Arabidopsis thaliana: one gene and its partners. The protein of the gene in region 3 interacts with the protein of the main gene of each other region in a pairwise test. Each region holds a gene or a part of one and is shown on either strand. Other genes may lie near its edges.

Evidence for each region.
Region 1: the proteins of MSBP1 (region 3) and AT2G33250 interact in a protein complementation assay, tested with the Arabidopsis thaliana proteins (one large-scale study listed by BioGRID).
Region 2: the proteins of MSBP1 (region 3) and UMAMIT3 interact in a protein complementation assay, tested with the Arabidopsis thaliana proteins (one large-scale study listed by BioGRID).

What each region holds. Positions count from the first base shown.
Region 1 is NC_003071.7:14,090,604-14,101,410, reverse strand, and holds AT2G33250 (uncharacterized protein), read right to left. Parts: upstream 4,043-10,807; 5' UTR 3,958-4,042; coding exon 3,553-3,957; intron 3,228-3,552; coding exon 2,733-3,227; 3' UTR 2,660-2,732; downstream 1-2,659. Other genes in the region: AT2G33260 (Tryptophan/tyrosine permease), read left to right, coding at 1-390, 493-571; AT2G33255 (Haloacid dehalogenase-like hydrolase (HAD) superfamily protein), read right to left, coding at 1,053-1,217, 1,437-1,571, 1,697-1,757, 1,849-1,891, 2,283-2,616; XID (myosin XI D), read left to right, coding at 4,497-4,553, 4,844-4,966, 5,062-5,205, 5,379-5,524, 5,614-5,770, 5,880-5,938, 6,029-6,188, 6,306-6,455 and 18 more.
Region 2 is NC_003074.8:16,861,800-16,872,606, forward strand, and holds UMAMIT3 (nodulin MtN21 /EamA-like transporter family protein), read left to right. Parts: upstream 1-5,233; 5' UTR 5,234-5,446; coding exon 5,447-5,700; exon of another isoform or gene 5,701-5,777; coding exon 5,778-5,894; coding exon of another isoform or gene 5,895-5,979; coding exon 5,980-6,253; intron 6,254-6,347; coding exon 6,348-6,503; coding exon of another isoform or gene 6,504-6,542; exon of another isoform or gene 6,543-6,582; coding exon 6,583-6,734; coding exon of another isoform or gene 6,735-6,762; intron 6,763-6,834; coding exon 6,835-7,039; 3' UTR 7,040-7,127; downstream 7,128-10,807. Other genes in the region: CRK4 (cysteine-rich RLK (RECEPTOR-like protein kinase) 4), read right to left, coding at 1,602-1,925, 2,025-2,181, 2,258-2,495, 2,586-2,796, 2,970-3,091, 3,174-3,308, 3,399-4,242; AT3G45880 (2-oxoglutarate (2OG) and Fe(II)-dependent oxygenase superfamily protein), read right to left, coding at 8,056-8,067, 8,330-8,460, 8,567-8,637, 8,834-9,009, 9,098-9,745; RUS1 (root UVB sensitive-like protein (Protein of unknown function, DUF647)), read left to right, coding at 9,898-10,599, 10,673-10,807.
Region 3 is NC_003076.8:21,208,578-21,219,384, reverse strand, and holds MSBP1 (membrane steroid binding protein 1), read right to left. Parts: upstream 6,446-10,807; 5' UTR 6,265-6,445; coding exon 5,945-6,264; intron 5,171-5,944; coding exon 4,828-5,170; 3' UTR 4,774-4,827; coding exon of another isoform or gene 4,766-4,773; 3' UTR 4,543-4,765; downstream 1-4,542. Other genes in the region: RUP1 (Transducin/WD40 repeat-like superfamily protein), read right to left, coding at 1,330-2,487; MBD13 (methyl-CPG-binding domain protein 13), read left to right, coding at 7,751-7,834, 8,678-8,776, 8,912-9,058, 9,172-9,295, 9,403-9,603, 9,703-10,807. UniProt on the Arabidopsis thaliana protein: MSBP1 can bind to multiple steroid compounds with different affinities. Negatively regulates cell elongation and brassinosteroid signaling. May act as a coreceptor with BAK1 and enhances its endocytosis.

The DNA of each region.
Region 1 (10,807 bases), on a different chromosome or scaffold from region 3:
ATCTGCTGTTCAAGGCTTTGCTTTCTCAGCCTTAGCTACCAGTTTAATCGGATATGCTGTTAGCTTCCCGAAACAGCTCCTCGACACATGGAAGCTTGTGTCTAAGCAATCAAATGGAAATGGAAGACTTGGGTCTGTAAGTTTCTCATCAAAAGAGCGTGATAGGAGAACTAATGGGAGAGCCTCATACAATGAACCAGCAAGAGCTCGTGATGGGTTTGAAGCAGTAGTGATGCTATTTGTCCTTGGAGTTCCAGCTCTAATTGCAACATTCTTTCCCTCAACGTTCTCGAGAGCTCTGGATTTTGCCGGTGTTTATGCAAACTGTTTCCTCTTTGGTGTCCTGCCTCCTGCAATGGCTTATATTCAACAGTCCAGAAAGAAGCTCAGGTAACTTCACCCTACTATACAAAACATTCTCTGTAGTCCTCTGTTTCTTCATTGGAACTATCTATGGGATTCATATGAAACCAAAACCTTCTGATTTTGCAGGCCATGGGTTCTTCCCGGAGGCAACTTTACCTTGTTGATCTTATTTGCAATCGCCATTATTCTGGGAATATGGCATTAGATCACCATCAAATACAAATGTTTTGTTTGTATCATGATTCTGCGAAGACATGCCATAATCTGACCGTGCTAACCAGACGCTAGGGAAGCAAAAAGACCCCACTGGGACCTTCACGAAGATATATGCATTCATTGGTTCCTTGTAGAAACACTAATAGCGATTGAGAAGTCTTTTTCACTTAGCAGGATCACATTTCACACTAGATCTATCATTGTTGGAAGACTTACTAAGAAACAGATTCAGCCATTCAGAGACTAGAGATGATATTAAAAATCTTGAAATTTTGGATTTAACAAACAACAATGTTTGCCCTCACACACATGTTCGCTAGACGACCATGCAGGGACACAATTGTGCAACTTAAAGATAGCCAGTGCATAGAATTCCGTGGTTTGACATTTATGGCTATCCTGAACAGATACTGTGTTGAGTAGGACACTAATTTGGTCACTGAAACTACAAGATGAGGAACTTGGAAAAACTACGGGTTCAGGTCGAAGTTCGTCTCCAATAGGTTCTGGATTTTGGACAAGGAATCAACCTTAAAATCAGGTTGCAGACCGGAAACAGAAAAATCGTCTGGTCCATACCTTCCGGTTTCATCTAGCAAGCAAGTGAAGGCTCCAGCTCGTTTCCCACATGCTATCTGCAGAATCGAGAAAAGAAAGATCGATTACCAGTTGTAATCTTCAGTAAAGATGTGAGAAAAATAGTCTGAAAAGTTGGTAGGCATCCTTTCCACATAGAAAATCTTTAAGCAATGGCATGAGAAGATCCATTGTTTAAGCTTCTTTCATTGCATTGCTTATCGATTTGCTATGGAGAAAGGGTTGACCAAAGGCTTGTCATCATGTCTGTCACTCACATCATCTTTTAAGCTGTCACCAACCATCATGACTTCATTAGGTTGGATGTCCCATGTAGAACATATATGCAACAGCGGGTCTGGGTTTGGTTTATATGGACGAAACTCTCTGCCTAGTGCTGGAGAAAAGATAACCTATACAATGAAAAATAACTGTAAGGAACTGCCTCAGATTTCTTCTCTCTGATAAAAAAAAAAGAATGATCCAGCTAAACCTATCTCAGGCAGCTGTCAAAATGTCTTCAATTCAACATTCTTACCTCAAAACGTTGATGGAAGATGTCGATTGCCTTTTGAACATTGCGTGTAATTAGCCCCCTCCTATAAAGTAAAATACAAAATGTAACAACAGTCAAGTTATCTGAACAAGAAAACAAAAAATCATAGACAGAAGTATCTGAAAACCACAGACTTTATCTTTTTGGAATCAAGGAAGCCACATAGTTCAGCAGTACCTGCCACATAAATGATCACATATCAGAAGAGAATTAAACCTCTAAACGCCAAAGAAACACAGTACTCCTTCTAGATTTTCAACTGCTAAATCATCTTATAGAACTCAACAGCATAAAGTCAATGACCAGTAAAGGAATGATCTCAAATCGTGATGTGGGGCTCTAAGACAAAAGTCAAACCTCCGTTAGACCATAAAGTCTTCACTTTTAACAAATGTTCATTTTATCTTTCAGCCTTGAATTTGCAATCTTTTCTCATCTTTAACTCTACGAAATTCTCAATCTTTAACCCATTTTACGATAGATTATCAGACGAAAACCCAAATCCTTAACACTTCCTCAGCGCAAACACAAAATCAAAAATAAAAAAATAAAGCAGATGAATCCGTACCAGGCATGATTTGAAGCTTATCTATTCCTTGTTTCTCATAATCAGCAATGATTTCATACGCCTTCTGCTGTTTATCAGGACTCCACGACTCAATATGATGCAGAATATCAATCCCACTAGGGCTCTCTGCTTTGATTCGCTTGTAAGCATCTTCACCAAGAACAGCTCTATACATTGCGGCGAAATCGATGACCGGAACAGTCAGGGTTCCGTCCATATCGAATACAACACCTCTCAGGCGAGTTTTAGCGTTCGTCGTTAAATTCGCCATGGAAATCGAACAAGAAGGTCTGAGAGTGAGAGAAATAAATGTTCTTGATAAGAGGAAAGTCATGGAAAAGAAATGGTGATGCTCAAACTGAAATTGAGGCTCATAATTATTCTCTATTTTTAACCAATTTCGGTTCGGTTTAATTTGAACAACTTGGTTTGTTTTGGTTTAGTGGTTTTTCACTTGAGCATGTTTGTGTATGTGCTTAAGAATGGAAACAAAGACACCAACAATCTCAACAATAATGGTTCTGCTGCCTTTTCTCTTCTTACTCTCTTCCTCTTCGGTAACGGTTTCTTCTTCGGTTCGCTTGTTGGCCGTTCGGGAATGGTGGTACCAAGCCCGTCTAACTCGTCCCACCCACCAAACTTAGAAGCCATTCCAGCTGAACTACGGTTAACTCCACGGCCATTGACATTGTTTCTAACGGTTGATGGGTTGTATCGAATCCTGCTACTACTTCTCTCCACTTCTTCTTCTTCTTCCTCTATCCCGAATTGATTTGCTATTGATGTACCTCTGCGTTTATCCCAACCAATCAACTTCTGGAACGCATAAAATAACAATGATGGCCCGATTGCTACGGCTAGTGACACGAGGAAAGCTTTGGGTCCGGTGCTGAAGAAAAGCGATAAGATGATGAATGGGAGGAGATATCCATACGATTTGAATGCCTACAAAGTGAACATAAACCAAACACAATAAAGATCCCACACCAACAATAAGAGAGCAAAATCTGGTGTATGCAAATAAAATGCAGCTATATATCAACAAAGCCGTTTCTCTTATCTTTGAGCAGAAAGACACTATCTAGTTAGAAATCAAAACTAGTTCAGATTCACTACACAACGATATTAACTGTTTCTTACATGATCACCATAACCATTACCAAAGAACAATTTTGATACTTTAATCAATCAGCATTTTCAATTAGCAGTAGTAGATTCCCGGCTAATTTCATAATTAAGGCTTAAAAGATGCATGATTGAAACTAATTACCTTTAAAATCCAAACATTATCTACAATTTCCTCTAAGATCTTCCACAGGTCAAAATTAGCACTACCAATTCCACCACCACCATCATCTTCATCATCATCGTCTTCAACATTATCTTCAAAAAGTTCTTCCCATAGCTCCCGCCGCTTCCTTCCCCTTTTTCCCCTTTCCGTCAAACGGTATCCCCTACCGTCATCAGCGGCGGCGCATATTTTATAGCTGAATCTCCGGCGGTTCAGCTGAATTATCTTCGCCGAAGTTACTCTAGAGCATGAGGAAGAGAAACAGAGGAGTTGAGAACGAGAGGGAGGATAAGATCTAGGGTTGTGGAATCGCCAGACATGGAGGTTTGAGAAACTAAGATAAGTAGAAGCTCGCGGTAACGAAAGAGCTCCTCTATCCGCCATTAACGTCTGGCGAAGCGAGAACAGTGAAGAAAATGCTCTGCTCCATGTATAGACACACTCAACTTGCGCCACGTTGTCATCATCTCCTCCATTAGAATCGAATACTATAAACCGGCTTGGTCCAGGAGAAATGTTAGAACTGAAATCCGGTATAATTGCAGGGGTAATTTCGAGATCATCAAATGTCTGACCTGACACGCCTACGTGGATTCTCTTTTCTCTTCCTTTTTCCAGAAACGAGGGAGAGAGAGACGAAGCATCAAACAAGGCAAAAACAAAAAAAAACCAGGAGAGAATATTCCGAGGGAAAACGCGAGAAAATTTCTTACGTTCTGCGAGAATCTCCAGCTTTCCTGGGGAAATATTGGAAGGCAAAAGCCGAAGGGTTTAAGGTCTCTGTAATCGTCGGAGAAATTTGAAATATCGTCCGTAAAACGTGAATGTAGTCTTAATCTTCCGCATTTATAACGTCGATCAGAGATTTTGAAGCTAGTAGAGAGAGAGAAGCGTTTTGTGTTTGATTTATGGTGTTTGGATCCATGGTGTGGAAACACCAGCTGATTGGGTTCTCAGGGATTTTTTCTAATGTTTCTCCCGTTGGAAATCTTTATTCGGGATCATTTCTAGGAAAATCAGACCAGATTTGGCCGTGATAATGGTACGAGTCTCTCTTCTCTTATCTGCATTGCGATTTCTCCGTGTTCTTCATTTTTACCTTTTTTTTTTTATCTTCTGTAACCATAATTGCTATTTGAGCTGATTTTTATGTTGCCCCTTACATTTTAGATTTCATTATAAGATGTGTCTAAAAGAGAACAAAAGAACCAGCTAATGAAGCTTGACAATATTTTTTTTATTTGTTTCTAATATATTCTACTTTAATCAGGCTTCAGTGAAGGTAACTGTGGGGTCACAGGTCTGGGTGGAAGATCCAGATGAAGCCTGGCTAGATGGAGAAGTTGTGGAAGCTAACGGTCAAGAGATCAAAGTTAATTGCCAAACCAAGACGGTTAGTCCCTTTTCTCCAAAGCAACGAGACAATGTGTTAGTTCTTAAGGTACCTTAAGAATACATTGCTCATATTTGTGATGCATTTGTTTGTAGGTTGTGGCAAAGGTTAATGCTGTCCACCCCAAGGATCCTGAGTTTCCTGAGCTTGGTGTGGACGACATGACAAAGCTTGCGTATTTGCATGAACCAGGGGTTCTTCTCAATCTAAAAGCCAGATACAATGCAAATGAAATATATGTACGCTTCAGCATGTAACTCTTGTCAGTTTTCCTTCTTTCATTACACCCACTTATGAATTCTATGATTATCTCTACCATTGTTTTGCTGAAAATTACTGCACAGTTATAGCAATATCATTAATATTTCTCTGAAGTGTTTGTAGCAAGCTAATTTCTTCTTGATGGTTACAGACATACACAGGGAATATACTGATAGCTGTGAATCCCTTTAAAAGATTACCCCACCTATATGGAAATGAGATAATGGAGCAATATAAGGGCACAGATTTTGGCGAGTTAAGCCCACATCCTTTTGCTGTTGCTGATTCTGCATACAGGTAATCTTTTGTTGCATAGATGAAACTTTAACTAATGTTGCACTATCATTTTTTTTTGGGCCTCACCATCATCAAGAATATAAATTTAGAAAAATGATCAACGAGGGAGTAAGCCAGGCGATCTTGGTGAGTGGAGAAAGCGGTGCTGGGAAGACAGAGAGCACAAAAATGCTCATGCAATATCTTGCATACATGGGTGGAAAAGCTGAGAGTGAAGGACGATCTGTCGAACAGCAAGTTTTGGAGGTAGATAGTCTGTTTACAATGCATCTACATTCTTACTAGAGACAGACTCACTGAGTTTCTCTCTGTAGATATCTTCTTATTCTTCTCGTATTATGATCCTGTTATGCAGTCAAATCCAGTTTTAGAAGCTTTTGGTAATGCAAAAACCGTCAGAAACAATAATTCAAGGTGGAATGTCATTCACATTTCTTGATTTTTCAAGTTTATGTATGTTCTTGAAGTCAACCTTGACATATGTAGGCAAATCTCATATTGCAGTCGTTTTGGTAAATTTGTGGAGATTCAGTTCAATCATATGGGAAGAATCTCAGGAGCTGCTATTAGAACATATTTGCTGGAGAGGTCACGAGTTTGTCAAGTTTCTGATCCTGAAAGAAACTATCATTGCTTTTACATGCTTTGCGCTGCGCCAGAACAGGTAAACATGGTCCCTTGTATGTTTACATCAGGTCGAACATATGAAGGCTCTGTATGTCCAGTGCTTGGCCATATATGGGATTCATACTGAAAACTAGCTTCTGTTCTGAAATTTCAGGAAACTGAGCGGTATCAGTTAGGGAAACCAAGCACATTTCACTACCTAAATCAATCGAATTGCCATGCATTGGATGCAATTGATGATTCCAAAGAATACCTAGCTACGAGGAAAGCTATGGACGTTGTTGGAATTAGTCCTGAAGAACAGGTACCTTTTGTTTTTTCATTGACATGATCAGCAATGAGGATAACTCTTCTTACATTTTACTTTTGTAGGATGCAATCTTTCGGGTAGTTGCTGCTATCCTTCATCTAGGAAACATTGAGTTTGCAAAGAGCGAAGAATCAGATGGTGCAGAACCCAAGGACGATAAATCCCGGTTCCATCTAAAAGTTGCTGCAAAACTTTTCATGTATATGCTTCACTATTATGTGTTCTCGGATTACAGGTTTCTTGTCAATGGGAGGTAGAACCCTGATTGCTCTTTTTTGGGTAGGTGTGATGAGAAAGCTCTAGAGAACTCCTTGTGCAATAGGGTGATGGTGACTCGTGGTGAAAGCATTACAAAGCCTCTTGATCCCGGTAGTGCAGCACTAAGCAGAGATGCTCTTGCCAAGATTGTCTATTCTAAATTGTTTGATTGGTAGGTTTACAATAACGGCTTCTTTCTTAAGGGCTTATTATCAATCCTGGGATATAAAGTTTTGAAAGCTTACAAATTTATTGCTCCCAGGCTTGTGACTAAGATAAATAATTCCATTGGCCAAGACTCAAGTTCTAAGTACATAATTGGAGTCCTGGATATTTATGGATTTGAGAGTTTCAAGACAAACAGGTGCTTAACCGGTACGCTACCAAAATGTTCAATTTCCTTTTTCGAGTTGATTTATAAACTCCCTATACTGCTTCCTGCATGGCTGCCTATATGCTCTCTGATTTAGTCTTCTTCAAACATTGAGCAGATGGTTTGTTATTGGATTTCTTAAGTTTTAGCTACTTAGCTAGAGATTTTTTTCTGGTCTGGGACAATATTATTATTATTCTCATAATTGATTGTTCCTAGCTGTTATATGGTTCAACTGATAGCAGTTTTAATGCTTGTGTTACAATTACAACGTTGTCTTTCTCTTTTCACATTTTGCAGTTTTGAACAGTTTTGTATAAACCTGACAAACGAGAAGCTGCAGCAGCATTTCAATCAGGTTGGAGACTGAGGTTCTTTTCATATTTTTGATTCTTGATTGATCTAATTTTATGCTGATCCATATTCATGCATATGTTCCTCTCTTCTACAGCATGTGTTCAAGATGGAGCAAGAAGAATATACTAAAGAAGAGATTGACTGGAGTTACATAGAGTTCATTGATAATCAAGATGTCCTTGACCTTATAGAAAAGGTAAGTAGTATCACAATGAGTGGTGTTGGAATCTTTATTCCGTTTTCTAGCAGTTCCAGTTTCATACATATTTATTGATTTCTAGCACCTAATACAGAATTGTTCAATGTCAGAAACCTGGTGGAATTATTGCTCTTCTTGATGAGGCTTGGTAATGTACCAAAGCGTCATGTTCTTTCTTCACTGATTTCTTTTTACTTCTTCAATAAGTGGCTGAGTTTGTGTATGCCTCTACAGTATGTTCCCAAGATCAACACATGATACACTTGCAGAAAAGCTATACCAGACATTTGGTAGCCACAAGCGTTTTACCAAGCCAAAATTGGCTCGTACAGACTTTACCATCTGCCATTATGCTGGTGATGTTAGTGATTTAATTTACTACAGAAGTTTGTGCTTAAATGTTTGTCTTTAAGTAATGGCAAAAATGTCAATGTGGTGTAATGACTGTATTGATGTTCAACTTCAGGTCACTTATCAGACTGAACTATTTTTAGACAAGAACAAAGATTATGTTGTTGGAGAACATCAATCTCTCATGAACTCTTCAGATTGTTCCTTTGTCTCATCGTTGTTCCCAAAATCGCGAGAGGAATCGTCCAAATCATCAAAGTTCTCATCAATAGGCTCTCAATTCAAGGTCTACTAATGATGTTAAATTCATTAAATTCTTCTTATATTGTTTTTCCGGTGATTCTCACCATGTTATAAATTACAGCAACAACTACAATCTTTGCTCGAGACGTTGAACACCACAGAGCCACACTACATACGTTGTGTTAAGCCAAATAACGTTCTTAAGCCAGAAATATTTGAGAACGTTAATGTTCTGCATCAACTTAGGTGTGGGGTAAGCTTAATGTTTCAGAGAACCATATACTGTTATTTTTTGCAACTGCGACAATTTTTCGGTCTTTACGTGATGTTGTGAAGCATACTTTTCTGACCTCAGGGGGTCATGGAAGCCATTAGGATTAGTTGTGCTGGATATCCCACTAGAAAGCCTTTCAATGAATTTTTGACCAGGTTCCGAATTTTGGCCCCAGAGGCAACGGAGAGAAGGTAGATTCTCCAATACATATTTTGCAGTTAAATTCTTAGCCTAATGTTAAATAGACGTTAAGGTTTTAGACTGATATAAACCTTTTCTCTCTGGCCTTAATATTCTATAGCTTTGATGAAGTTGATGCTTGCAAAAAGCTTCTAGCAAGAGTGGACCTTAAAGGTTTTCAGGTGCGTTTCCATATACTTATCACACAGTTCCTGGATTGCTGCCTTTACATTGTGATTTCCAAAAAAAGAGATACAAAGGGTACAGGCAATGCCACTTCGGATATATTGCCTGGTTACACTGCACAAGATTCATTAAATTTTTTAAATCACAGATAGGGAAGACAAAGGTGTTTCTTAGGGCAGGTCAGATGGCAGAACTGGATGCTCACCGAGCGGAAGTTCTTGGGCATTCAGCAAGGATTATACAGAGGAAAGTCATTACGTATCTGTCTCGCAAAAAATATCTGCTGTTGCAGTCCGCTTCAACTGAAATCCAAGCCTTTTGTAGAGGTAATACATGTTCTATGCGATTGCTCGTCGGGTAGATTATTGGCGTCAAATATAGTTTCATGTCTAACAAGGCTTCTCCCAACTCATTTCAGGACATATTGCACGCGTTCAGTTTAAGGCCACGAGAAGAGAAGCTGCTTCTGTGAGAATTCAGAAGCAGGCACGGACATATATATGTCAGACAGCATTTAAAAAGTTGTGTGCTTCAGCTATTTCCATTCAGTCTGGGTTGCGTGCAATGGCTGCTCGAGTTGAATTTCAATACAGGACGAAGAGAAAAGCAGCGATTATTATTCAAGCAAGTTTAAAACCTCATATTGATGATAAAGATCTCTCCTTTTTCGTATCTTAAAGATATCAAATACTTGAATTTGTTTGTGTATCAATAACATGTGTGTTACTGATTCCACAGAGTCAAATCAGAAGATGTTTGTGTCGACGGCGGTATTTGAGAACGAAGAAAGCAGCGATTACCACTCAATGTGGCTGGAGAGTGAAAGTTGCACACCGAGAATTGCGGAAGCTTAAAATGGTGACTTTCTCTCTTAGCTAACAATAAAAGCTCTTTCTTTCTCTAAACCTAATTTATACGATCCTACCTTCCATGAGATGTACGTGAATATTCAACATGATTGTCATCAAGATGTTGAAAAATTGTATACTTGTGGATTGGAAGTTTCTCTCAGTATTTTTTGAATCTTTTAAGGTTCTCTTTTGAGAGCTCAAGTTGATGATCTATAGTCAATTTTATGTACAAATTCACAGATTCGAATGTATCCTGAGATTTCCTAAGATATTTTTTTGTCTTCCAGGCTGCTAAGGAAACAGGTGCCCTCCAAGACGCTAAGACTAAGCTAGAAAAGGAAGTGGAAGAACTCACTTCATGCTTAGAGCTTGAGAAACAAATGAGGGTACACATCTCAGAACTTGCAATAGTAGATCTTTTGTTGATGTTTCCCTTTTCTATGTGAAGCATCTGATCTGCCTACTGATGCAGATGGAGCTTGAGCAAGTCAAAACTCAAGAAGTCGAAGATTTGCGGTCAGCTTTAAATGATATGAAACTTCAGCTAGGGGAAACTCAAGTAACCAAAAGTGAGGAGATTTTGAAGTTGCAGTCTGCTTTACAAGATATGCAACTAGAATTTGAAGAACTTGCTAAGGAGTTGGAGATGACAAATGATCTTGCTGCCGAAAATGAACAGCTCAAGGTAAGGTCATAAAGATTTTGAAAATATGATCGTGGTTTCTCTGTCTTATTTATTTTCCTTCTAACTTCTAAGGATTTGGTGAGCTCGTTGCAAAGGAAAATTGATGAATCCGATAGCAAATATGAAGAAACAAGTAAGCTAAGTGAAGAACGAGTAAAACAGGAGGTTCCCGTCATTGACCAAGGTGTAATTATCAAACTCGAAGCTGAAAATCAAAAATTGAAGGTAGGATTTCAAGATATTGTTTTATGATAGACGACCCAGATTTGTGGCAAAAGCGGTTCATTTGAGATTTCAATGTTTTCTCTCGGTAATTGATATCTTAACAAGTACAACGTATCGTAGGCTTTGGTCAGTACATTGGAGAAGAAAATCGATTCATTAGACAG
Region 2 (10,807 bases), on a different chromosome or scaffold from region 3:
TAGCGGTTTAGTTTGGGTTATTATTTTGATGAACTTTGGATTAGAAGACAAAAATTTGTCTTCCCGTTTTGAGGGGAAAAGTTAGAGCCTTTTCAGATTTTCTTCCATAATCAATTTTAAATTGTAGCTCAGTCCCATTAACTAAAAAGTTTAAAATTTAAATTTGAATTTGAGATATTAGTTAGTAACTTTTTTTCAACTCTAATGCAAAAACTGTCTAATTTCTCACCTAAATATATCTACTAAAAAAAAGACAACCACCCATAATGCGGAAATTTGATATATCATGAAAAATTTATGAATAAAATTTTAGAAGTAATTTTCTAAATTTTACAAAAGTCAAATGTGTTCATCATCCAATGAATTTGATACCATAGACATGTCCCAAGTTTCATATCAAACAAATGTGGGGTTTTCAACTATTCTATCACATCTCCAAAAGGCAAAAACATTAGATTTAAGTTTTAACTCACTACTTCTTAATTAGGATTAGAGTTACATAAACCAATTGTCAATGTTAGACCACATTTAATGTTCTTGGAATTAGTAACAAAAAATATAGATTATTAGTGAACAAACCATACATATATATTGGAAAATATGTGTATATATATGTTTGGCAACATGTGGTTTCTATATAAGAGATTATGTGTGTATTAAGGAGTGAATAAAGAAGCTTGAAGAAAAAGAGGGAAGGCAAAAGTGTGGGGTTAAGGAGCCATGTGATATGATCCTTCAAACATGTGGTTTTCTTTTTCAAACCCTTTTGCTTTCTTTCTCTCCTCTCTCATTATCAACACACACATACACATATTTATATAATGAGTGTGTGTGTGTGTTTGTTTTTCATAAAATTTGTGTGTCAAGCTCAGTCTCGCACTCATATCTACGCAGCATCTTTTGGTACCAAACACATGTGGGGTTACTTTTTATGGTATCGATAGTTTAGTTCATATTTGTTGGAAAAAGTTATGTATGAATTTTTTTTTACAGAAATATAATTGAACTAGGATTACATCAATTATGTTATCGTTTGCTAAGTTATGTAATATCCTAGATTTTAGCAAAAACGACTACTATAGAGCTCCATCTAATCTTGAAAAGAAAAAAGTTATTAGATAACATCATTTATCATATCTATGACTTTAAAAGGTAACACAATTAATTTCTCTACAAAAATTATTATATATAGACTAATATGTATCTGCATACATCACATGTATGTATATTAACATCTATATTTTATATATATTGCTTGCAAGACACTCTATCAAAAGTATTTCATATGCTTGTGTCTTACTTCAACTCTCTTTATTTGGTAAATATAATCTAGTTACTCAATAAAAACACTAAAACGAAGAAATTTTTCACATGCATTGTTCAGAGGTTTTGATTCCCTCCCTCAACCATTACACATTTTCATTTACAATATATGTTACACCATTTATTTGCTTTACCTTAATCATAAAAACGCGATAATTAATGCTAACAAATAAAGAGACTATAAAACCTAAGAAAGAGCTAATTAACAACTAAACCTTTGTTTGTTGTCGATCGATGCTTAATTCAATAGACTAAATCATATATCGCGACTTTTGTTTTCAACGAGGAGTTACATTAGTAATGGAAGCATCATCGACTGAACAAAGAGCGGACGTATTGATAGATAGACGATCCACTAATCCTACTTGTTCATGTTTACTACTCCGGAAGAAAAAACCAGGTCGTTGAGGAACTGCGAGAGCAATTGAGCTAGTAGTGAGCATCTGGACAATAGCTGACATGGTTGGACGATCTTCAGCTTCTTCTTGAACACATAGTAAAGCGATATGGATGCATCTCGAAACTTCATTTATTCGATAGTTATCACGAAAGGATGGATCCACTAGCTCTAACGGTGACCCATTGCTCCATAGTCTCCAAGTCTAGTGAACATTTTAGTATTTAGAACTTTGGTCACTATTAAATAAAGTAAAATAATAATTAAGGCTCGATATATAAAAAATGGCTCTATATATACTCACATATGTAACCAAATTGCCAGCACTAGTACCATCCATTTGATAGACATTGCTGTTCTTTTTCCCACTTATAATTTCGAGAACCAAGACCCCGAAGCTATACACATCTGATTTCATGGAGAATTGGCCATACATCGCATACTCGGGAGACATATAGCCACTGTGACAAAACTCAAAGCTTAAGTTGATAGAAGCATGCATGTTATGTGCCTTAAGGAAATATACGGAAAACTTACTATGTTCCAACTATTCTCCTAGTATTGGCTTCCGTTTGGTCCATTCCGAAAATTCTCGCCATTCCAAAGTCGGCGATTTTTGCATTCATATCATCACCAAGGAGGATATTACCTGCTTTGAGATCACGATGTATGATTGTGAGTCGTGAATCTTGATGAAGATAAAGAATCCCTCTAGCAATTCCTCCAATGATTTTGTACCGTCTAGTCCAGTCCAGCAGGCTTTGCATGGTAGAGTCTGCGCATATGAATTTACAATGTTAGAAACAATGAATGGTATACAATTTGTAAAAAATTTATCTTAGGCTAAATATTGAACATAACTGACCAAAAATGAAGTAGTCGAGACTTTTGTTGGGAACAAACTCATAGACAAGTATCCTCTCATCTCTTTCCAAACAAAACCCTAGCAATCTTACCAAATTTCTATGTTGAAGCTTTGCCACAACAATAACTTCGTTTGCGAACTCTCTTTCACCTTGTCCTGATGTCTTGGATAACCTCTTCACTGCAACTTGTACTCCACTAGGAAATATACCCTACAAAAATAATCATGAAAATGAAACTTTGTTTTTGTTTAACACATATTCGTTTTTATTTATTAAGTGTTGTTTTTTTTTTTATCAAATATATATTTTGAAAGCAAACTCAATTATTTCTCCTTTGTGGCCTTCTAAAAGTTAGGACCAGTTTTGGACAATGGTAATAATACCTTGTAAACTTCGCCGAAACCACCTTGACCAAGTTTGTTAGTCTCACAAAACTTATTTGTTGCTGCCTCAATTGCTTTAAAATCAAACTGAAGTGAGCCCGCAGTGGTAATATCATCACTTTCTGTAAAACATAGAGAACATTCTTCGTGAAGAAAGAAAATAAAAAGGAGATAGTTTATCATTTGGTGTCTTAATATGTATACCTTCGGTAAGTGGTTCCCTCTCATAATTCGTCCTTGTTTTCTTAGCCCGGAGACTAAAGAAAGCTACGAACAGAAGCAGGAGAGCAATGATTGGAACAACAACAACGATGATTACAGAGGAGTTCCGGCCTTTTCCTGTATTCCATCAGATTACATGTATGAACCACTTTTTTAAAACAAATCTTGAGTGTCTCAAAAGAAACGTTGCAGTTATGTCCATCATACCACGTTCTGAAATCAGCGGTGGGGGAGCTAACTTCAGCTGCTGTTGAGGAGTAGAGCGAGGCGGAAGAGACGGTGGTGATGATGATCTAGTGGCGGTTTCATTGTAGAACGAGTAATTCTCGTACCTTGAATTACAACTAGGGTAAAAAAATCTTCCTCCAATTCTGTAAAGAGACATTCCCTTGATGGATTTTTGTAGGCAACGTAAACAGTCTTGTCTTGTAAGATCAGGTGTGCACTGAACTAACAAGTACAAAGGCTGGGGTGTGATGACCTTTCTCGTATAAAATTTTTTAGAACTATTCGCTGCTTCAACGGCAGCTAGGTTCAACGTGGACGACACCAAATCCCTAAACTCATCTACTTGATTTTGATTACTTGATGAAATATTAGCGCCGTTCAACAAGATAGCACTTCCATCGTATGTAACGGTCGAGAGAATATTTCGGTGAGAGTATCTAAGCATACACTCATCGTAATAAAGCACGACTTCTTTGTTATACGGACACCAATATAAAGTCTCCTTGACGGAAAAGGCGACGCAGTTACGGCAAACTTCTTGTGAGACGTCTCCGCGACAAAGGAAAAGTCCGGTGACACGGTCGGGAGCTTGTCCCGCCGTGGCAGTTTGGAATCCGGTAGAGTATGAAGCGTTCCGGGAAGAGAGAGAGGACAAAAGTGTTTTGAGATTGGTGAAGTAAGTGCTGTTTCTTGAATACGTTAATATACTACTTGGACAAGAATGGTTTAGGTGAATAAAATTTTGAACTGGAGCTGAAAGAGGAGATAAGGAATCGGCAAATGAAAGATGAAGGAGAAAAGGAAAAAGCCAGAAGAAAGACATGCTTGAGTTTCTTCGATTTGCATGTGTCTAAGATCATGAAGCACACATGCATTAAATAAATTTATTTTTCTTGACTACTGTACATTAACGTGAAGTACAGGTTGGTTCGAAGTTTTTTTTTTTCCTTTTTAATAACAAAAATATCCTAGGCAAAAGATGATGATGCACATTAGAAACAAACAAAAGGAACGGGTTGGCGATCAGAAATTGCCAAGTAATTCATACCAAGTAGTAACAGAAAGAATCATCGTCATTGATAGGATAAACACTCTCAAAGACAATGACGAAAGAGAAGACAAAATACAAAGACTCATTTGCTACTTCACAATTTTTATCTTTTTGGTATTTTCTTGTAACCAAATCTCCGTTCGTTTGAAATCGTATTTCGACTTGTCATACTGAAATTAAAAAAAAAAAGACAAAATTGATACGTGACATATACACATGGTGGTCAAAAATGAGTATGAGAAAATTGATACGTGACATAACACATGGTGGTCAAAAAAGAGTATGAGAAATGAGACTTTATATATCGATGAAACCAAATCCAATGCATGCAGAGATATCTAAACACATACAATCAAAAGTTAAAGATGTCCAACACATCAATGTCTGTAGAAGACAGTACAACAAAAAAAGCGTTTTGAATCGCTTATTTTTTATATTTGCATATTGATGCAAATGAGTTTTACATCACTTATATAAGTGACTTTAGAATTGGTGAGTGAAAAAAATTATTTACATCGTTTCAAATAATTATTTACATCGATTATAATATTAGAAACATGATGCTTAACTCTTAACATAAATTACGCCAAGACCAATTTGAACCATCTGAAAATTAATTATAGCATTCTATATTTATGTATTCGTTCCTCGAATTTATGTATCTTTACTTTTATAAAATTTTACCATACTATAATTAATTTTTAGATTCTATATATATTTATAAATGAAAATTTAAGGAAATTAGTGATAATGGAATGGCGGGTAAATAGGATCAATCCCAATGCATGCTTGTGTCCGAAGCATGATGTCATCATTTGTTAGTTCCCCTGTCTCGTTCGATCAAAAAACACGTTTTGACAGAAGAGATTCAAAGTGACAATCAGTTTCAAGATTTAATTCTCTTACCCACTCTCTCACCCTGGCTTTCATAACTTTCTCCGGGAATAAGAATCGCCGGAAAAGAAGAAAACCGCCAATGGAGAGTACGGTGGAAAGAGAGGCGTGGAAAGCTCACGTGGCGATGATCGGTGTGCAATTGTTCAACGGAGGATATCATGTCATTACCAAAGTGGCTCTCAACGTTGGTGTAAACCAACTTGTCTTCTGTGTCTTTCGTGATCTCATTGCTCTCTCCATTCTTGCTCCTCTTGCTTATATCCGTGATAAGAGAACAAGACCTCCTTTGAATCGACAGTTTCTCTTAGCTTTCTTCTTCCTTGGTTTAACAGGGTAATTCAAGTTTTCTTCTACCAGTTTCTGTTATCTTCATGATTGCAATCATCACAGTGATGTTTTGGTGTGATTAGGATATTTGGTAATCAGCTTTTGTTCCTCATTGGTCTGAATTACACCAATCCAACTTATGCTGCAGCCATTCAGCCGTCGATCCCGGTTTTTACTTTCATCTTGGCTCTCATTATGGGGTAAAGACTCGATCCAGTCTTTCTCTTTTACTTTCTCTCTGACTCTTCCAAACCTAGAACAATCCATTTTCGTGTGTTGCTGCAGAACAGAGAGACTGAATTTATTCAAGCTAGAAGGTCAAGCTAAGGTAGGAGGCACACTGATTTGTGTCGCTGGGGCGGTGCTGATGGTTTTGTTTCGTGGACTGGCTTTGTTTGGGGAAACAGAGGCTGAGTCCTTGGGTCATGGTGAATCAAGACACACTGAAACATCTGGACACTTCATGTCTGGCTTTTTTAATGGACTTGGGCGATGGAATTTGGGAGTTTTGTGTTTGATTGGGAATTGCACTTGCATGGCTGCTTTTCTTGCTATTCAGGCATGTCATTTTCTTCTAGATGATCCACACACTTTCAGTTTCAGATATCTTCTTGTCTTTGGACTGACCTTGCATTTGAAACATATATGATCAGGCTCCGGTCTTAAAGAAGTATCCGGCGAATCTTTCAGTCACAGCATACTCGTATTTCTTTGGGACCATGTTTATGGTGACATCTGCTTTTTTCATGACTAATGAGTCGACGAACTGGAGTCTCACAAGATCCGAGTTCTTTGCAGTTGTCTACGCAGTATGTTCTTCACACACCATATGTTTGTTGATCCATTAAATTTCTCCAATTGAGTAACTCTGTTGCTTCCTCTATGCAGGGAGTAATCGCGTCTGCTCTCAACTATGGTCTCTTGACATGGTCAAATAAGATCTTGGGTCCTTCCTTGGTTGCTCTCTATAATCCTCTTCAACCCGCAGCCTCAGCTTTCTTGTCCAGAATCTTCCTTGGAAGCCCTATCTACTTGGGGAGGTTTAATATCTCTCTCCTTTTCTCTTAGCTATTCTCAGCCATCAACGGGATGTGTCTGAAGTTTCCTAACTAACTAGGCTTTTTTCTCCTCCTCTCTTAGCATTTTAGGCGGATGTGCAATCATAGCAGGTCTTTATAGTGTCACCTGGGCATCTTACAAAGAAAAGAAAGCGGCAGCAGCAATGGCTGTGATCCCGATCACCTCAAAGGAAGCTGAACCCTTGATCTACAAGGACCATAAAAACAAACCAATAGGACATCTATTCACAAAATCTCCCATCTCTTCACCAAAATCCGATGATTGAACAAAAACTCTGGCTTCTTGAATTACTTGGGTGCTCCGATGTTTTCTTAACCTTTTGCCGACGAGAGAGTGACTATTTTATTTTCTAACAGTATATATATGCATATAAACATCAATGTTTAACAGAGTCTCATTATCAGGTTTGATGTCCTCAATGCGAAAACCATTCTGCATAATACTCGAAACCATAGCCTCCAACAGTTAAAACTGTCTGACCCTCCATAGCTCTGAACACCTTCTCTGCATTTATCACCAACCTATACTTCCTGTACATATCAATCAGCCCACTTTGTATCAAACCATTTGATTCAAACCCGAGCTTTATGGAATTCACATGCACTCGCTTCCAAAATCTAGCCCCATCACTAACATAAGTGGAAGAAAGATACAAATTTGTGGCAGAGGGAGTGAACTTGCTTCCCTGATGTTAAATCTGAAATCAAGGCACATGCTTTTAGAACACATCACATTATGTTGTTCAACATAGCAACAAGGAGAGAAGTGGCATTTTGGTAACCATCCATTGCAATACAGGCTATACAGCTGATGATAACAATTGCAGAGCAACGAAAATCTCTGTAGGGCATTTATTCCATATGTGGCGGGCGAGGTCCAGGCGCCAACATGATACACACATCAAAAAGACGGTTGAGAAACTGCAAGGTTGGTCTTACCCCAGATTTCAAAATGTGAACTTGCAGCTCTATAAGCCCCACCAGCGATCACGAGTCAGTTGATTTCTGAGCCAGAGAAGAGTACAGCTCTTCGGTTCCAGACGGAGAAAGACAATCCAGTAACCCAAGAATGTCGGAAGTCAAGCAACAAGGAGTTCGATCCTCTGGATGGCGTTAATAACGGCAGGTTATGTATGGGATTCATGACAAGAAGTTGACCATGGACCCAGTTCCAGAGTTTTTATCTGAATTACTCTGGAGATTTTAATTAAAGAACATATTGAACCAAACACAGCCACAAGAGCTTTTATATAGATGATGGCTTCAGAGTTCCACCATTAAATCAGGGAGCAATCTGAGACAAAAATGAAGTCATCAACAAAAGAGATACAATTCAGAGAATTTCAGAGCTTTTCTATCATTTTATGGTTCTTTATAATTCTGGGAGACAAAACTTAAGTTATAGTGGAGAAAGCACCAATGGACATGACAAGTAATAAAATTAAGATCTTCTTAGTCTAAATATTACATAATGTAAATTTAAGATCTTCTCCGAGCTTTCTACCATGACTGAGAAAACCTGAACTCAGCAAAAATGTTGTTTCATCTCTTCATACCTCTGCATCACTGGATTCTGAATCTTCGTCTTCTCTCCAAGAAAGAACTGGATTGAGTGAAGATGACTTGTATAATAAAGATTGCAAGAAGTTAAAATAAGCATACTTGATGTCAAACTGCATGTCATACCCTGCAAATTAGATGCATACATAGCTTATTAGAGGCAAGGAGAGCCGAAAAATACTGGCTTGCCACTGAAGACAAACAGATGATGGAAGCAAAACTAAAACTCTTACAATAGTTCACTGCAATGGTATAACCTCCATCTCCTGGGGTTTGACTAACATGGTGAAACCACATGCTTGGCCTGCAAAATTCAGAACCATTCTGAGTCAGAATCATGACTAGAAAATCCAATTGTGTAGTAGGTCTATCACCCATTTCTAATCTTTGTTTCTTATAAAGCAAAGGTAAGACTGAAGTAGATACATTAGTGATCCAAATTAAGCCAAAAAGTTTCTGAGAATTTTCAATCTGTGGAGCTATGGGATTTAAATTCTTACAGGTAAAGAACCTCGCCAGCCTTGACAGTACAATGAAACGGCTTCGGGCCATCAAAGAACAACGGAAATTTCAATCTCTCGCTTGCTTCCTTCTCTGGCGAAGGGTATGGATCAACACTAGACCAAGGTACATGCCTAACCGGCTCCTCAACCTCAAGCTTGAACGCATCAGTATCCTATAACGATTCAAACTTTATCTCATTCAACATCACTTAACAAGAAACCAAACTCATTGAAACTTATTAATCTAAAAATCTCACAGACTCGGTGGTAAGAGTAATTAGCTGCCGGATACTGTTCGATATAGAGACGGTGAACATCAGTCGGAGGAAGAAGAAGGAAATGTTTCTCCCCTGAAACAACAGCGTAAAGATTCTCATAGTGATCTTTATGAAATGAAGTCACGGAGTCATCAGTACCAATCCAAAGGTTCACAGCTTCCGGCGAACAACCAAATGCCTCCGTAGCCCACTCAATATCACCGTCGCAGTCTAACGCAACCGTCGAATACTCCGTTCTAAAACAATCGTTTTGCTGTTGCAAATACCCAACCTTCAGTCCTTTACACGACGATTGAACAACCTTAAGAGCCTCCGGGAACAGAACTTTCTCAACATGAGCCGAAGCGAAACAAAGATCACTATCTCCGGTGACGGCGTCTGCGCAGCCGTTAGGAGTGAGATGTAGCGAGACAACGTCATCTGACAAAGCTCCGGTGAGGTAAGCCGGATCTGACCAGAGTTTTAACGCCGGCCAATGAGTAATAGCTTTGGAGATTACACAAGGCTTGCTCTGAGACACGTAGTTTCGGAGAAACTTCACCGGAGACGGTTGAGAATCAAAACGATCGATTTTAGTTCCTAAGCTCAATTCTCTCACTTCTCTCCATAAATTCTCTATCTCTTTAGCCATTGACGAAAAAAAATTGGCGGGACAAAAAATTTGGGGGTTTTAACACATAACCAAGAACCCTAATTTATATTTAAAGAAAAAAAGAAAAAAAACTGTTTTTGTTATAAAAATAGGATTTTTGAAATAAACTTGTTTCGAAGAGGAAGAAGAAGATGAGTTGTTCTTATCTACTTTCTGGTGACGCTTCCGTCGTCGCTTCACGGCGGTGGAGTGATGTTTCTTCCCGGCAGCGTTTATTTCTCCCACGGCAATCACTCCGGCAGCCATCGGGTTCTTCGTTTTCCCGATGCGTCCGATTAGTCGCTAATGTAAATGATCATTTCAGTAAACAATCACTCGCGACGAGAAATTGCTTGGCTTCAGTGTTTAGTGCAGACTTGGGTGGAAGTAACGGTAATAATGATAACGGAAATGGCGGCGGTGGCGGAGGAGACGGCGGCGGCGATAACTCTGATGATTCTTCTTTCGATTTGAGATACCTCTGCTTTCTTTTATTGGGCTTGTCTTGCTTCTTCCATTTCCGATTATCAGCTGCGTCCGCCATAGCTAAAGATCAAAATTCGGATAGTAATGGAGATGCTGTGAAAGAGACGGTTTGGGAAGTGAGAGGAAGTAAAAGGAAGAGACTAGTTCCCGATTTTGTCAAAGATGAGTTCGTCTCTGAAGAATCTGCTTTTGAATTATCATCTTCTCTAACTCCTGAGAATCTCCTAGCTCAATGTAGAAACCTTCTCACTCAATTCCTTCTTCCTGAAGGTTTTCCCAATAGTGTAACTTCTGATTACCTCGATTACTCTCTCTGGAGAGGTGTTCAAGGTATTGCTAGTCAAATCAGCGGCGTTCTTGCCACTCAGGTAGACGACTGAGCTTATCATCTCTCTTAGGCATTTTCACAAACACTTGGTGTTCATTATATTGTGTTGGTAGTCTTTGCTTTATGCAGTTGGGTTAGGTAAAGGAGCAATTCCTACAGCTGCAGCTATCAATTGGGTGCTTAAAGATGGAATTGGGTATCTTAGTAAGATAATGTTGTCGAAATACGGACGACATTTCGATGTTCAT
Region 3 (10,807 bases):
TGTGTATGTAAAAGTGTAAATGATGTAATTTGACCAAATCATATAAATGAGTAAAAGTGGTCTAGAGGGCAAAACTTAACGTTGACAAAACAATCTTTGTCTGTCCCGTATCAATGATTATGAAAGAAAATGAACACAATTGAATTAAAGAATGCAAAGAATCATCCAATCTTTGAAAAGCGATCGGACAAATTGGATATCCCGTATACCAAAGTTGGCAATGTGTATATTTAAAAACCCTATGCACAAAATTTCTTTAAATATAATCAATATTATAGTTTGTTTGTTAGGATATTTGTGTAATTAATCTTGGTAGGTGAGTCAACACTTCCCTCCTATTTGCTGCACATATTTACGTATAAAACTTAATTTTGGATTTTATTGATAATAGAAGTATACAATACATTTCGAATATACAAATAGGGTATTCATTTGAGAGAGGGAATATTTTGCATTTCCATATACAATATGTCGTGACCCAAATGGGTTTTGCTGGCTTTTCATGTTGAACTTCCAAATATATGTCCTGACTCTTACGTTTTTCTAAAATAATTAATCTCTGAACCACGTTATTTCTTTTTATATTTGCCTGAAGAAAAAGACTTTGTTGGTCGTAACATTTGTTGACAAGAGATGTAAAACTCATCTAAAGATGGGCTATAAAGACAACCTCTGATTGGATCAGCCCAGTTTCTGGGCTACTGGAGTCATGTCATGTGGCAAAGTTTTGTTGGCCACTATGCCGTTTGGGCCAGATTTTATTTTGCATCAAACCACTATAGTTACATAATTTTAAACAACCCTCTTAACCTACATGAATGTATATGTATAAGTATTGTCTGACAAGTTTTTCTTCTCTTTTTACAAAACTAAAGAACATGACATGATTAAATGGTCAATTGATTACAAAACATATCATATCTTTTAGACTCAAAATCAATTTAGTCGTCTAAAGCTCTAGCTTAGCTATGTAAAAAAAAAAAAAGGTCCATAAACTAAAAAGATATATAGAAATAGAATTTCTCATTCAAGTGGACATTTGACTTCTCCTTGTCATTTTACAAGTCAATATATACACTCTCCTTGATACATTTTATTTATTTATTTTCTAGCGCTAATTAAAACACTATTAGAATTAATTTTCAATTCCCTACAAAATGTGTATTCGAATTGCAATGATTGAAAAAGTTCTCAATATCACTTACAATTTCTTCTTAAGAATTGTAGTAACATTCAATCATATTAAAATTAATAACTATAGACAGTATAAAATCAACTGAAAAACAGTTTGTATTAATCATGAGCAGAAAAAAATAATATAAATACTGATTAGCTTTGTTTGCCCGAGAAAATTTCTAAAGCCCCATCGGATCCTCCGGCCACAAGTGTGCACCAATCTTCATCCACTTGTCTCAAACACACACTACTAACAAACCGTCGGTCAGATCCAAACCGGTTCGTATGACCCAATCCACAAACCCAAACCGGTTCCTCCCACCTCTTATCGTACACAAACACTTGGTTATTCTCTGACCCGGACACGACCAAACCACCATGTCTCCAAACCGACAACCCAACAAAGTTCCGGCTATTCACATGCCCTCGGTACGTGCGAACCACGCGCCGTCCATTATCTATATCCCATTGCTTCAAGCTCCCGTCGGTCGAACCGGTAACGATCGTGTGAGAATCCATGAATCGAGCATACGTCACCGTTTTGGTATGGCCGTCTAATACGATCAAAGGGTCCACTAGTCTTCTGATGTCATACACGTAGGCATTCCGGTCAGCACATCCAACGGCTATGGAAGATCCACCGAACGGATCGAACTCTACCGAACAAATCGCCGCTCCACCACCGGGCCTAACCGTTTCTTCTAACGTCCCTCCGTTACGTGGATCCCACATTTGAACCGTTCCGTCGTCGGAGCCTGACGCGCCTATAAGAGAGCCATTGTAAAGCGTGTAGTCCACGCTCCAAATCCTTCTACCTCCATGCTCGTCTCTCTCGGAAACAGGCACTTGTTTCTCCACGTCGTACTCGGTGACAACTCCGTCGTAATCTCCTGACCCGATAACCCGACCGGAAAAATCGGGTCTCCATTTGAGACTACTAAGCTTCGCCGGCGTGCAAATATAGCTCTCTGAAGCTGTTACGTGATCGTCACGTGACTCTAACAAAGAGCTTAAACGATACGATCTGATCTTTCTTGCGATTCCTCCCGTAGCTATGATCTCTCCGGTAGGGTCGAACTCGATTGCTCCGATAGCGTCTGATCCGGTGGATGCGGAGGAAACAACGGCGGAAAGAGAGAGATCCCAGTCGCATCTAGGAATGTTCTCTATGTTCATGATTGTGGGAGATGAAGAAGAAGAAGAAGAGGAGGTCATGATCATTGGCCATGTATATGAAGAAGAAGAAGATAGATCGTTAATGGAAGATCTGATGTTGTTGTTGGGTATCTCAGAGCAGAACAAAGCCTCCATGAATGAGTTACGACTAGTTTTAGTTAGGTCCACACGAAACTATATTAACATCACATTCATATGTGTGTGTGATGTGTATATATAAGCTATAAAGTGGTTTGTTTGTTGACGAAAACAAAAAATGTGGGGTATATTTAAATTTAATATAAATACATATACATAGGTATCATGGTTTATCTATCTTTTTTTTTTACTAGATGTAGAAGAAACCATGTATATAATTTTAGTTAAGCCAAATATTTATAAATGGAATTTGCTAAATTCATGATACATGGAACTTTTCTTTTGTGTGATATTAAATGGAAATGCATTCACGTTATTGGTACTTGCTGTTCTCCGAATGGTTCCAACTAGAAAAGTAATTAATATATCGAAATTAGCTACATGTATTTATGTTTTTGTTCAAACAATCCAAAAAGGTAATCTATCAAAATAAGACCATGCACATGGCTAAATAACCACTAGCTCCAAATATGATCTTTGAACATTGTGGTGATTAGAAATGGTTAAGAGTCTATCTTTTAGATTGATTATGAGTTATAATCTTCATCACTCCTTAAGTTAGCTTTTAGCAACAAAAAGTTAGAGCAATGGGATATGGATAAGTATGGGAAGTACACCATGTCACCAACTTGCCAAAAAAATTCTCTTAGAAGAAAAAATGTAAAGAAACTTTTTTTTTAATTATTGGGTGCAGAGAGACATCGCATTAAAGGAAGAAGAAATGGAAACACGAGATTAGCATTACGTTAGCGTTGGTTGGATAAGAACCTCAAATTTTGAAACCTTTCCTAACGATTAGTTTGGTCGTCGTAGATCTCAACTCCTACGTGGATAATATTACACCTCTTTATTTCTGATTTTCATTTTATTTTTGAAGACAAAAGAAAGTGAATGCAAAAAGTACACGTCGATACATCGACGGTTCATTACGTTTAGAATACTATTGCTATATAATAACTACATGTGCGTTGATATCTTGGTGCATGTTTGGCTTATTTTGACGATTTCAATATCTCGTGACACTTAAGACAATAATTGTATTCATCATGACAGCTTGTAAAACGTATCTTAAGCCCATATGTCTAGGTCCAACCCAATCCATGATCGCAGAGAAGGCGATAACCAAAATTCAGTTTAAACTGATCTTAGAAGTTTTTTTTTTTTGTCGACTGAAATACATACACATATATCAAAATGGTTCGGTAATCCAAATCGATGGTGTATATAGAACTATAGGTCTTACATACTTAAAATAATGAAAATGTAGTGGTGAACAACATGCTAGCTAACAAGTTAGCAAGACAATTCTAATTACAAGAATAACAGAAAGCCAGAAGAGAGCAAATATTTGAGTCTTGCAAACCATTCCAAATATGTTGAGAAAATTGGCTAAAATGTTCAGGAAGTTGTCAATTTTCTTTTAGCTTTGAACAGTCCATTGAGATAGTTACCGATGTACTTTGATGCTTGATCATAGGAGAAAGGCTTATGCATAGATTCCTAACTCTAAAAAGAGATCCTTCTATGTCGTTATGAAAACCGATCCAACCTATATTTGAAAACATATCGAGTCTCCTTCCATCAACTATCTATAAAATCTTCACATGTTTACCAAAAAAAATGAACTATTTTATAAAACATTAATTTGTGACTTCAAACTCCAGTTTTTGTAATAAAGACCGTTGTTCAAAGGTACTTGTCTTATGTTCTTGCAGCTGTGCAGTTTCTCAAATGTATCATTAAAAACCTTATCATTACGTGCCTTCCAATGTATCAAATAATCCATGGAAAGGTTAAATCTTTTGAAGAGCCAGGTTGTTCCAAGAAAAGAATATCCAAATTTGCAAATACCGACGACACCGAAATTTCCATAGTGCTGAGGAGATCGAGCGCACATATCTGCAATGCAAGGAACACTCAGAAGAACGTGGTCAACTGTCTTCTTTGCCCCAATTCTTAAACATCGAGGATCACAATTGAATACTCTATTTCCCAATTGATATGGATTTAGTGACCAACTTAAAAACTTCCTATAGTAGTAACCAAAAGGATGAAGAGAATTTACAAAAAAAGGATCAGGTTTAATGTTTTAGTTTCCAGATTAATCATGCAGATTCACAAACCACAAGTATGAACTCGACTACATTGTAATCATGCAATGCAACGCCTTCTGATATGCAGTTTATAAAACATTTTTTTCTTATCATTAATCAGCAATCTTTATTTTTTGGGAAAGTAAAACAAGATTATCATTGACACTTCAACATTAGAGATTCTACAATCCTTTTCATAAAACTGGTCTCTATGACAAATCAGAGCAAATCTTGGAAATGGGCTCTACTCCTCCTTCTTCAACACAGTCTCAGCAGGAGCATCATCACTCTTATCAACAACGGTCTTCCCAGGCGTTGTGGTTACATGAGCATCTTGCTCAACATTCTCTGTGGGTTCAGAGACAGATGCGGTTTCAGGTTCTGAACCAGCCACTTTGACAGTACCAACCTTAGCATACTTGCTCATGAACTTGTACTCCCAATCTTGAAGAGCATCTAGCTCAAAGGGACCAAGACCAGAGACATCCCAAGTCAAGTCTTTCTCCTCAAATGACATCTTTGCAAGAGCTCGGCTAGCGTCTTTCCCTGCAAACAAAGCATATGGTCCTCCTGGTCCGTAGAACATCCTACAAAACCAATAAATATCAAACCTTTCATCACAAACACAACATTTAATTTAAATACGCAAAAACCAGACTAGACTATCATAAGAAGATGATCAATTCATTATACTCAAAGATTAACAAAGAGTTTTCACTAAAGATCTCAACCACAAGCAGACATTAACAACAAGAACATATTACAACTTCCTTTGAATCCTGTTCTTGTATGAAGGAAGCAAAAGGGTAAATTAACACTATGCCACTCAAAAGCTCGATTACATAGAAAAGCACAACTTTTGTGAAATTGATTCTCAAAGTGAACAACTTTATGGATATCACAGCTTCATAGATAAAACTATGCAAAGTCCAAGTTGTTATAGAGTAAAACGAGATTTGAGGAAGACAATAAAAATCCAACCTTTCATTACAAACACAACACTTGAGACACTAAAACCAGTCTAAGAGATTGATTATACTCGAAGATAGAGCTAAGATATTTCACAACATGATCTCAATCACTAGCAAACATCAACAACAAAAACATATTCCTTTGAATCTTTCTCTTGTATAAAAGTAACAAAAAGGATCAACTTTTCCAATGTGCTTTTCTGAAATTGATTCTCAAAACAAAACTCCTTTGTGAAATTGATTCTCAAAGTGAACAACTTTACGATTCTCACAGCTTTATAGATCATAAAAGTATGCAAAGTCCAAGTCTTTATACGCTAAAACAAGATTAGAGGAAACAATGAATCAAACCCATAACCTAATTTCGCTTTTTAGATTCAGAAATTTCACCTGCTTTGTGTAACATCATAGATCTGATGTTTGATAGCCATAAGAAGGGGCTTTTGAGGATCAGAGCCATCGTACTGTTTAAGCTCCTCCTCCGTGATCTCACCGACTTGAACAGGCTGAGGAATCGGTGGCTCCTCCTCTTGAGCCAAGGATCTAGCTCTCTGATGTCGGTTAACATCATCGAACGGCGAGGCAAACCAGCCTGAGATGACTTGGTAAATGGCGAAGGCGAGAGCTAGAGCAGTGAAGAAGACAACAGGAGAAAGACCTGTGTAAGCATGGATTGCTTCTTTGAGAGTTTGCCATAGTTCTAACGCCATGGCTTTGAAGAGAGGATTCTCAAGATCAGTAGTGTGTTGAAAAGGCTTGTCTTTGTAAAAGTCAGGCTTTTGTGCTAGATAGAGAGTTGTTGGGTTTTGACTCTTGTTGTTGTACTACTTCCTTGGTTGATTGATTTTTTTCTTTCTTGGGTTTAAAAGTTAAATACAGCTAAAACGACCGAATAAGATTTTTTATATAGTTATTAGGGAACTAATCTTTATTTTTACCATACAATTTTTAAATAAAAAGTTATTTTCTTCTATAAGTAAAATACAAATGATAATGTAGTACATGGGATTGTGTTAGTGTTTTTGATATGTCAAAATTCGGGTTTCAAGTCTCTGCCGTAAAATAGATAGATTTTCGACGAAATAGAAAAGACATCAAGCTTAGATATGTAAATGGCTAGAATATAGTTAAGAAAAAAGCAGTAGAGTATTTTCTGAAAATCTTTGATGTTCAATTCAGTTATTTTCATCATGAAATTTGATAAAAAAAACTAAAAAGAATCATAACCTCGAAAAGAAAAATAAGTTTTAAGAAAAATAAGTTTCGTGGATGCAGAATTTAAAAAGAAAAAATCAACCACTTTTCAGATTTTAAAACACATTTTATAACATTGATATAACCTTCAATCCAAATAATTTATTAATACATAAACTTTTTTAAAAATCAAAGTTTCAATAATTAAATCACTAGAAATAGAATAAAATCATACTTCTAAATCTTTTAAACATGATATACAAATACCAAATTTAATAACATAAATTTAAACAAAAAGTAATTAAAACTATATATTAAGTAAAAATAAATTATATTTAATTCAGATTTATGAAAATTCATAATTGACTATATTAGTATTTTTCACTTTTCTTCTCATGATAAATCTTCCAATCCTAACATTTACAATAATAACATTTTTTTTTTCTTTTGGGTCAAAAAATGATAACAAAGTCTTAAATGTTTCCCAAAAAATATCATCATAAATAGATTTGCAATTAGATTTTATAACCAAATCAAGCAAATGTTTTTTAATATACAGTGTAAGTTTTTTTAAAATTGGGACAATAACAATGGAAGTAAACAACAAACAGTACAAGAGAATAAAATGGAGAAAATGAGCTAAATTGCAATCAGAGAAGAGAAGCGTTGGGCCAGAAGACTCGCGTGCTGGTGGACTGAGTTTTCTTGAACCTCTCAAATCGGGGAATCTCCATTGAAACTCCTCCACACTACACGTGTAAACCCTTTCTTCTTCTTCCCCATTAAATCCTACTATTTTTCTTATTTACCTTAGTGGAGACAGAACCAAATCACACAATCAGACAAAATAAAAAGGTTCCTTCTTTATAACTTCCGACGGTGTCCATTATCTGAATCCGACAATTCTTGATGGGTTTTGGCGTTTTGAGTTGATAAACCATTCTGAGTTGTGAATCAGGGATACAAGAGAGAGAGGAAAGTGGTTTTACGGTGACCGGAGAGATGAACGGAGAAGGGATCTCTGATGGTTTGTCGGCTGAGAGGAAAGTGGAAATTAGAGTGAGGAAGAATGGGAGAAAGGATAAGGTGATTTATGAGTTTTAAACCCTTTTCTTAATTTTGATTGTCTTTTGCATGTTTGGTTCTTGTTAGCTCCTTTTGTGGAAATTGTAGTTATCTTTATTGAAGTGCCAAATACTTTGATTCACTCTTAGTTTCTGATTGTATGATTTTGTAATGATGGAAAAAGGTGAAGTCTTTTGTGACGTTTGAGTGATTTTCTCTTGCATGCAATGCTTAGCTTTTAGGGAAAGATGACATGTGATCAAAAGAGAAGAGGTCTAGTTGATTAAGTGTCTGAAAATGGTCTTGACCTGACTTTTTGTTTTGTTATAGATGATGTAGTTTGATCAAAGCTTTGTTATGTAGCTACATTTTGAACTCAATTGATTTTACTTGGTTCCACTGTGGCTTAGAAAGCTCTTATTACTTGTGTGCATGATTGGAGATGTTTATTTTTTTTAAGTTTTTCTTGAATTTTTAAAAGTTTGTCTCTTAGTTTACTTCGTGTGAAAAGGAATTATATGGTTACTTTACTGAGATGGTTAGACATTAAGAGTAATAGATCTTGTGAAAATGAATTTGGATTGTTAAGTAACCATCTTCGAGAGAATACTGTAATATTCGTAAGCACTAAAACTTTGTACCTCTCGCGTATGCAAAGGGAAAGTTTTGAGATGAATCACATTTATATTGGCAAGGGTCTGGTATTAGGTTGTTCATGGAAAGTTCATAAGCACAGAATATCTGAGAGTTTTGTGTTGTTTATATGTTTGAAGACAATGTTACTTTGTTCTTTGTGATCCCTAAAAAGATTTGACATTTATACGTCTCTTAAAATGAAAAACTCTTTATGTTTAAGTGATACAGGTTATAGTTGAGAAATCTGCTGCTCAAGGTTTACCTGAAGGATGGATCAAGAAACTTGAAATAACAAATAGATCAGGCCGTAAAACCAGAAGAGATCCAGTTTGTACCCTCTACTCTCTTTGTGATAACATCATCTTTGATCAAAAGTACATTTTGTGTCTTTTCCACATAAGCTCACTTTAGAAAATCTCTTATGTGATTCTTCTTGGACATGTCTTGTTTTTGATTTTGCAGTTCTTCATTGACCCTAAAAGTGAGTATATCTTTCAATCCTTCAAAGACGCATCACGGTATGTTGAGACTGGCAATATTGGACATTATGCACGTAAATTGAAAGAAAGTGATATCGAAGATGATGATTCCGGAAATGGAAAGACTGTTGTGAGTTCCTTTCTCCTTTTTTGTTATAGTTAGTTTAATGGAAAGCACTATAGCTGAATGATTGAATTTTCTGTTAATCTTTTAACTCTTAACTTTTCTCTGTCTGATTTTAGCTTCGTCTGGAGTATGTGGACAAGAGATCTGCAGATGATGTATTGGAAAAAGAGAAAACGATAGATGATGTCAGAAGAAGTAAACGGAGAAACTTATCTTCTTCTGATGAACATTCCAAGAATTGTAAGTACAAAGTCTTTTGGGTTCTGATTTTGCCACTTGCCAGGGTATAATCATACTTATGCCGTGAGTTACGTTAAGTAAGTGTCAACATTCGATTATATATGCAGGTAAAATGACTTCTGACTTGAGCATTGTAACCTCACAAGTTCTTGAGGATTTGGGGAAGAAGGAAGAGGTGAAAGATCCTATCGAAAAGCAGCTCATAGCGAAACGGGTTACTAGAAGCCAAACTAAAGCCAGTACGACTGAGGAAGTCGTCGTAGATTTAAAAAGAAATCTGTCTTCATCAAATGCAAAATCAGAAAAAGGTGTGCAGATACCTGACTTAATATTTCCACCTGAGTAGTGGCTGAGATAACAAAAAGATTTGAGGACACCAATTTTTTCTATGTTCTCTATATTTGTAGATTCTGTAAACTCCAGTGTAAGGTCACAAAAACCAAAGAAGGAAGCTGTTATGAAGGAAGAAGAGGAACAAGATTCTTCTGAGAAACGGATCACAAGGAGTAAAGTTGAAGAGAAGAAGAATGAGCTAAGTAATAGTGTAGCCCGACGAACATCAAAACGGTTAGCTGGTATTGAGCTTGAACCAACGCCTGAACTGAAGACAAGAGCCAAAGTTCAACGAATAGTACCGCTTGATGATGAACCGACGCCTGAACTGAAGACAAGAACCAAAGTTCAACGAGTAGTACCGCCTGATGATGAACCGACGCCTGAACTGAAGACAAGAACCAAAATTCAACGAATAGTACCTCCTGATGATGAACCGACGCTTGAACTGAAGACAAGAACCAAAGTTCAACGAATATTACCTCCTGATGATGAACTGACGCCCGAACTGAAGTCAAGAACCAAAGTTCAACGAATAGTACCTCCTGATGATGAACTGACGCCTGAATTTAAGACGAGAACCAAAGTACAACAAAGAATACCTCCTGATGATGGCAGAGCCGGAAAGTGCAAGCAACCTGTGAATCATGTTACTACCAGCGGATCAAAAAAGACGGAAATACCGCTCAACAAGGAAGTAGCCCAAAGCTGTAATGAACAATCCTCTCAGAAACCACATGCTGCTGCTGCAACAAGCAACAATCGTGTGAGTGCAGATTCGGCAGTGGGAATACAAAATATCGGTAAAGCAGTAGGCAGGAAGCCTTCTAAAGACAAGAAGACGCTGAAATCACCACTGATAGTATATGAACTGAATCCAGTTTTTCATCTTGACGGTTACAAGCAGAAGGAAGAAATGTCACCTGTGTCACCGTTGTCTTGCCAAACTTCTGCAACAAAGTGTGAGAAGACAGCAGCAGGCAAAAGAGTGGGAAGGTCTAGCCCAAAGGCTAACCTTACTACCAGTGTGAAACCAACTCAGATCTCGCCTCTGAGATCACCAAATAAAGGAAAGCAACCACATCCTTCTGACAGTGGTTCTGCCATTCAAAGGAGAAATAAACTAGCTAATGAGTATTCTAACTCATCCGTTGTAAGAGGCACATGCTCAGAAGTGAT